2 linked regions of the Cricetulus griseus genome follow. The protein of the gene in region 2 interacts with the protein of the main gene of each other region in a pairwise test. Links are inferred from orthologs where the notes say so. Each region holds a gene or a part of one and is shown on either strand. Other genes may lie near its edges.

The links.
Region 1: the proteins of Klhl12 (region 2) and Inmt interact in binary tests that used the Homo sapiens proteins (3 or more experiments, as listed by UniProt). The two-hybrid records come from large-scale screens. The link is inferred for Cricetulus griseus from reciprocal best matches to the Homo sapiens genes KLHL12 and INMT.

What each region holds. Positions count from the first base shown.
Region 1 is NC_048601.1:86,142,125-86,146,221, forward strand, and holds the start of Inmt (indolethylamine N-methyltransferase), read left to right. Parts: upstream 1-1,291; 5' UTR 1,292-1,514; coding exon 1,515-1,671; intron 1,672-2,820; coding exon 2,821-3,028; intron 3,029-4,097. UniProt on the Homo sapiens protein: Functions as a thioether S-methyltransferase and is active with a variety of thioethers and the corresponding selenium and tellurium compounds, including 3-methylthiopropionaldehyde, dimethyl selenide, dimethyl telluride, 2-methylthioethylamine, 2-methylthioethanol, methyl-n-propyl sulfide and diethyl sulfide.
Region 2 is NC_048598.1:54,777,706-54,781,352, forward strand, and holds part of Klhl12 (kelch-like protein 12), read right to left. Parts: intron 1,847-3,647; coding exon 1,693-1,846; intron 1-1,692. UniProt on the Homo sapiens protein: Substrate-specific adapter of a BCR (BTB-CUL3-RBX1) E3 ubiquitin ligase complex that acts as a negative regulator of Wnt signaling pathway and ER-Golgi transport.

The DNA.
Region 1 (4,097 bases), on a different chromosome or scaffold from region 2:
GACAACAGACTTCTGTCACGTATTAAGTGATCAGTGTCATGAACTTTGCCCGTGCTATGTTGCCTGCAACCCAAGCTTGCCCTCTGGCAACCCACTCTGAACTTTACTGCCCAGAAGCTCTCACCCTTAGATGACTTTTAGAAAGAGATGGGGCAAGCTTTTTCTTTTCTTTTCTTCTTTCTTTCTTTTTTTTTTTTTTTCATCTTGTGATCATTGCAGAATCCCTGCAACGGTGTAAGAGTGTATCTATCCTTTATCAACTTTCCCTTTCCCTTTGTGGTAGCAGCCCTGCCAACCTAACTCAAACCAATCACCTAGGAAGTGAGGAATGGCCCCCATCATGCTGGTCTGTGGGGGTTTTCTTGATTAATGATTGATATGGGAGGGCCCATGGCCCTGTGGGTCATGCCACCTTTTGGCCAATAGTCCTGGGTTGTATAAGAAAGCAGGCTGAGCAAGCCAGTAAGCAGTGTTCCTTCAAGGTCTCCCCCTGGTCCTGCTTGAGTTCCTGTCCCCGACTTTCATAGAAGATGGACTGATCAGGAAGTATAAGTCAAAAAAATCCTTTCCTTCCCAAGTTGCTTTTGGTCATAGTGTTTACTATAGCAACAGAAAGCAGACTGGGCATCATCTTTCAAAGCAACCAGACCAGATCACACCAGACCCATGAAAGCTAGTGATCTTGGGCCAGGAGGGGCAATGTGCCCATGTGCACACACGTGTTCCTGGGTGTGTGAAGCTCTAAGCAGCGTGATGATACCTTCTCCTGCATGTCAGCACTTTTTCAATTGTTCGTCCAAATACAGTGCTTGGCCAACACAGGCCTGGTGATTTAGGGAGGTGCTATCAAAGTTTACTCCTGAGCTAATAAAAAATAAAACATTAAGCCAAGTGAGAAAACAAGATTAAAATCTCCAGGGAATCATTAACTCAGTTAAAGACAAGCTGCTTGCAAATGCAAATTCACTGAGTGCAGTGGAAAAATTTTGACAATCTCAGGTCCCACATCCCCATCCCAAGGAGCACTTCTGCTCTGCTTCTTGTTTTGTTTGCAGTTGCAGAAACGAAGCCCAGGGTGTTGAATGTGTTGGCCAGGGGACCTGGTCCTGAGTCCCCACCCTCTACTCTCAACCACAAGAGTGAAGAAGCATCCCTGAGCAGACCTTGATCTCTCTGCTCTGACTTTCTCTTGGTCCCTGTGTAATTCTCTCCCTCTCCCTCTCCCTGCAATACTGCCTCCAGCCACACCACCCTGGGGAACTAGTGATGAGACTGTCCCAGGACAGGAGCGGGTGGGGCGATGATAACACAGGACTCTAGCATTCTCATGCTTCATCACAAAAACCATATCGAGCCAGGAATCTGACACCAGCGCTCTGATAACATCCACCGGGACCCTAGCTCCTCCCTGAAGAGGGAGGCCTATTAAAAGAGGCTATAAAAGGTGTGGTGGGAGGGAATGGGCACTCTGCAGAGGCAAGAGGAGTACAGACAGCTGCAGTGGGCTAACCAGAATGGAGGGCAAAGTATACAAGGGAGGTGAGGACTATGAACAAGAGTTTGACCCCCGAGACTACCTGGCCACCTACTACAACTTCGACTCGGGCCCAGTGGCAGAAAAGGAAATCATAAAGTTTAGCCTGCAGAACCTCTACCAGACCTTCTCTTCGGGTGAGTGGCTAAGGTCCCCTGGGGGAGGGGCTGGAGCAGTACCAATGTGAAGAGCTCATTCTGTATATACAGATGCTACAGCGGTGGCCAGCCTGGCAGCCCACAGATGGCAATGTGTGTGGGTCCAGAGGAGCCATGCCTTGAGAGCTTGCAGCCATGGTCAGCTTCAGTTGCCTCACTTGTAGAATGCCTCACTTGTACCCCCAGATTTGTGGAGCTTCTAGGACACTTCTGGGAGAAGTGACAAAATGAGCCTGAGCACCAAAGCTGCTCCACCCTCCTCCTCTGGCAGAGGCCTTTCAGAGAGCTCTCTAGAATTTCTGGGACATTGCATTCTCTGGAAATCTGATGAAAATTCTTATACACACAAACATACATGTAAACAAGCGTCCAGAATTTTCCCCCGACATCTAAGGTGGGGGAGACTAAAGGTTAGCACTGTGGGAAGGGAGAGGGAGAGCCATTAGACCAGCAAGAATAAAGTATAATAGTTCAGACTTCTCAGTACTAGGAGAGTATGCTCTGTGAGATCCTGGAGGTTGTTTAGCAACACCACAGCCCCCCCCCAAGGGAAAAAGGGGCCTTCTTAACTAGACATTCTGTGCTAAGGAAGGTGTGGCAAGGGGCTCCCTCAGAATACAGAGGAAGGGAGGATACATGCTCCTGGAGAAAGCTGGGCAGAGTACAGGCACTGATGCTTGGCAGGGGCATAGCAGGTGTAAGAGGGGACTGCAGAAGGGAAGGGGCGGGGCTTAAAGGTGATACCCTGGTGCTGCCCTTGTCTTCTGATACATGGCTATCTTTTCTAGTATACCTGAAGGGCTCTTAAGAACACACTGGATTCCTTCTCAACCTTTATCCCAGACCCTGTCACTCTGTCGATATCTCCAGTTTTCTAAATCCACTGTTCTTAGAGATAAGCCAGTGTCAACCTACCAGCAATCAATCCTAAGTCTATCCAGAAGGTCAGATGTGCTTCCACTAATTTCCTGGGAGGGTTTTGAGAATGCTAGCTATACCCCAGTCCTAGCTTTGCTCCCCACTCCTGTCAACCAGAGGCAAGAGGCTACTGCCCTTCTCAGATGGCACATCCTAATGAGGCTTGGAGTTCCATGCTCTCAGCAGGACCTGCCCATTCTGTCTCCACAGGAAGTGTAAGGGGCGATCTCCTGATTGACATTGGCTCTGGCCCCACCATTTACCAGCTGCTTTCCGCATGTGAGGCCTTCCGGGAGATCATCGTCAGCGACTACACTCCACAGAACCTGCAGGAGCTGCAGAAATGGTTGAAGAAGGAGCCCGGGGCCTACGACTGGTCCTCCATAGTGCAGCACGTGTGTGAGCTGGAGGGAGACAGGTAACTGCCCTGTGTCGTCCATCGACCTCATCCTTCTCAGACAAGGTCACTCAGGACAGCACAGGGACCATTACCCACCTTACTTTCCTCCTGGTCTGCCTGCACCTCATGAACTTATAACCCTGCCTCTGGGTCTGTCCCACCTCTAGTCCCAAGGCTGCCCCAAACTGTCTGACCCTGCTCTCCCTTTCTCTGTACCTGCTCAAACCAGCTGTGACACTAGCTTCTATGTCACCTCCTCCAGGAAGTCCTGACGACTGTCCCAGTTCACACCACTCCTGCTTTGCTCTGGAGACTGGTTCAATGTCTCCGTTGATGCTGGCAGACAAACTTATCATGGAAAGACATGCTGGGAGGTATACCCCACACTTGTCCCCTCAGCACTGTGACAAAGCCCCAAAGACCAATTAGCAGTGGTCTTCTGCAGGCCCTGTGTCCACTTTGGTTCATAGAGGGTATTAGCCCCAACTGAAGCTGCAAGAGTCAGTGATTCTGATTATACTGCTGGGGAAACTGAGGCCCTGGCTTAGAGACAGTACTCTAGCCTTCCTCGGAACAGGGTAAAAACAAGTCAGTATTTCTGCCCTGATCTTGGAACAGAGGACTGACCCTGACCACCATAGGCTGTCCTGGCTAGAGGGACAGTAATTACAGGGGCCTTAGAGTTAGTCCCGTCGGGGTGTCACTCACTCTCACTGTGAGTCAAGAGCACACACATCCAGGAGGAGGGAGCCCCATGGAGCTCCTGTTACACGAAGAGACAGCTGCCATCATTGTAGCCTGAGACAGGTAGTGTGAGGTGAAAGGACAGGCTACAACAGGGACATGAGAATCCTCTTCTGAGCTGAAGGTGACCTCTCCCAGGAGCTGGGGCGCCTGAGGGAACAAGGACCCCATCTCAGGAAGACATGGCCAGGCATCAGGGAGGGCCACCAAGGCCACAAACGGGCACCCTCGAGAGGCTGTGATAAGAGTGACATAGTGGCAGAGCATAAGTGTTCATTGTGTGTGTGAGTGCATGTGTGGGTACATGTGTATGTGTGCGAATGCATTTATGTTTGCAATGTGT
Region 2 (3,647 bases):
AATCTATATTACAAGTGGAGAATGTAGACTGGATATAATGGTTTGTTCCTGTAATCCCAGCACTCAGAAGAATACAAAGGATCAGTAACTCAAGGACAGCGTGGACTACACAGTGAGACTCATCTAAAACAAAACAAAACAACAGCAAGAATGTTTCATTTATGTGGATATACATAAATGGCGGTTAAAAGAAACAGACTGGCTAGTCCTTGACCACAATTGCAATCCTAGTACTCAAGAGGCTGAGGCAAGAAGATAGAATTAGGAACACCTGGGATACAGCTCAGGGCCAGTTTTTTTCTATACAGTGTAAACCAAAACAAAGAAAAAGTACACACACACACACACACACACACACACACACACACACACACACACATAAAAATAGACTAGAAACTGGAAGGGAGGCCATCTCTAATGCAGTGAAAATTATATTTTAACTATTATACATCGATTTAAATTTTATTTTATTTACTTTTTTTGAGACATGGTCTACCTATATAGCCCATGTTGCCTCTCTTTCACAAGTGCTAGGTAAATTTTATTTCTAATAAGTATTTTAAGTCAGGCATGGTGGCACATGCCTTTAATTATAGTATTGGGAAGCAGAGGCAGGTGGCTATGCTAGAATTTGAGGCAGTCAGAGTTACATAATGAGACCCTGTCTCAAAAAAACCCAAAAACAAACAAGGGGACTGGAGAGACGGTTCAGCCATTAAAAGCATTTGTCACTCTTGAAGATAATCTATGTTCGGTTCCCAGCATCCAGAAAGCAGCTCACAACTGCCTATAACTCCAGTTCCAGGGGCTCTGACATTTGACCTCTGTGGCCACCAAAGGTCCTACTTTCCAGCATAACACTTATACGCATAAAAAATAAAAATAAACTAAATAAAATTTAAAAAAGATATTTCACATGATTCAAAGACTTAAAGATATAAAATGGTTTATATGAAGAGTCCTCTTAGCCTCTCCATGCCCATAGCCACCTAATGACAAGGTAAATAAGTGGACAGTATCTCTGCAGGAAATGAACACTATCAGTTTCTTGGCAATTCTTACATGAGTACTATGCAAGTATGCTTGCATGTATGTATTAAGGACATCCCTGTATTTTCCATTCTTCTGTTTTGCTTAATTATCTTATGTGTGGGTGCTTTGCATACATGTGTGTCTGTACACCATTTTCTTACCTGGTGCCCAGAAGAGGGCATCAGGTTCCCTGGAAACGAAGTTACCAATAGTTGTAAGCCACCAAGTGGGTGCTGGGACTCAAACACAGGTCCTCCTGAAGAGCAAGCAGTCCATGCCCTTAACCATAGAGGCATCTCTTCAGCCCTTTGGCTTGGTTTTGAGACATAAATCTCATTTTGTAGACTAAGTTGGCTTGAAACTCACACAATCCTCCTGTCTCAGCTTCCTAAGTGCTGGGATAACTAGTGTTAGTCATCACACCTGGTCCTTCCATATTCTCAAAAATAGAAAAAGTTTAAACATTTTCTTTTCCAAGAGCCAAATACTCATATTTGGAGAGTCTTTTGCATTGCTCTTAAATACACCTGACTTCCATGCTCAGAGATTCAAAAGTCATGCTTCTAGATGGGCCTCTGAAAGTCTTGATTAATTTTACATCATGAAAACCACTTCCAGGGCTGATGTGTCAGGAACAAGGATACCTTTTCTCAACTGTACCTTTCAGCTGAAGTAGACAGGCTGCTGGGAGCAGTTCTTGAACATTCTCCACTGTCACGTGTACTGTTTCTGTGTACACAAAGTCCAACAGGATTTCCATGGTAGAAGCAGTTAAACCTTGAATGTCAACATATGGCTTCCCCTTCTCTGAAAGCTGAAAATTCATAAGGCAGAAAAGAATGGTACTTTTAATTCCACAATGTAAAGACAGAATCTAAGCCTAAGAACTCAAATGGACACTGGTACTAATTAAATATACATCGTTTAAAAACAATAGTCTGGGGCTGGACAAATAGCTCAGTGGTGAAGAGTATTACTAGCTGCTCTTCCAGAGGACCTGGGTTCAATTCCCAGCACCCAAGGAAGTTCACAATCATCCATAACACCAGTTCCAGGGGACTGATGCCATTTCCTGACCTCCATAGGCAACAGGCACACACACATAAGGCATAGTCATACATGCATGCAAAACACTCATAAACGTAAAATAATTTTATAAAAAATGTTTAAATTACCATCTATTTTATTTGATTTGTATATACCAAGTATGTCATGTATTTGTAAATCTGCAAATAGAGTGGGCAGTTGGTTGTATCCCTAGTAGTGAACAGTAGAATATCAAAATTTTCTAGAGAATAATTACCAACCTGATTTCATATTAAAACCAACATAGATGTTTTAGAGAACAGAATATAAAAGTATTTCATAAACTTACCACTAGTGTCTATGTGCCTTTATGATAAAACATTATCTCTTCTCTGTCCTCTCCGCCCACCACCCATATGCTGTAGTGTGGCTGGCCTGGTTTTCAGTTTGTAGCCCAAGCTGTCCCTGAAGTTATTGCTACCCTCTTGCCCCAGACTTCTGAGGGCTGAGATTACATGCATTTGCCACCATGTGTGGCTAAAATAGAAATAGTCAATTTCATGATAATAGGACTCTGAGGTTTATAGTTACAGCCTCCTCCAAGATTACCACATTCCACTCATCTACCCTCAGAGTACATCTGGATGGAAAAAGAACATGCAGATCATTGTAAAAGGCTCTTCTGTTAACTGTCTGAGCTAGAGCTGCTCTAGGCTGTGTTATGACATCCTACACATCAAAAACAAAACCAAAAGCAAACACAAAAGTGGGGGGGAAAAGTCTATCAGGATACAACTCAGCTGTTTGATGGTTCTTCAAAATATTGATATGTACCTGTGATTCCAGGCCTTAAGGCAGAGACAGGCAGATTCTGAGTCTCAGTGAGAGATCCTGTCTCAAAAGTAAGATGGAGGGGCTGGAGCGATGGCTCAGTGCACTGCCTGCTCTTCCAAAAGTTCTGAGTTCAATTCCCAGCAACCACATGGTAGCTCACAACCATTTGTAATGATACCTTGTGCCCTCTTCTGGCCTGCACACATACATGCAGGCAGAACACTATACCTAATAAATAAATCTTAAAAAACAAAAAACAACCCACAACCCCAAAGAAGCTAGGAAACAAGGAGGACCCTAAAAGAGACATACGTGGATTGATCCCCGGAGAAGGGGAAAGGGACAAGATCTCCCGAGCAAATTGGGAGCACTGGGGGGAGGGGAAGGGAGGTAAAAGGAAGAAGAGGGGAGAAGGAGAAGAGGGAGGAGAACATGAGGAATCAGGAAGGTTGAGTTGTGGGAAGAATAGAGAAGCAGGGCAAGAAAAGGACAGAGCCATTATGGGTTTAGCAAGAAATCTGGTGCTCGGGAAATCTCTAGGGATCCACAAGGATGACCCCAACTAAGAATCTAAGCAGTAGTGGAGAGGCTGCCTTAAATGCCCTTCCCCTATAATGAGATTGACGACTACCTTAAATGCTATCATAGAGCCTTTACCCAGTAGCTGATAGAAGCAGAAGCAGAGACCCACAGCTAAGCACTGAACTGAACCAGCTGCAGAGAGGGAGGAGTGATGAAAAAGGGGTCAAGACCAT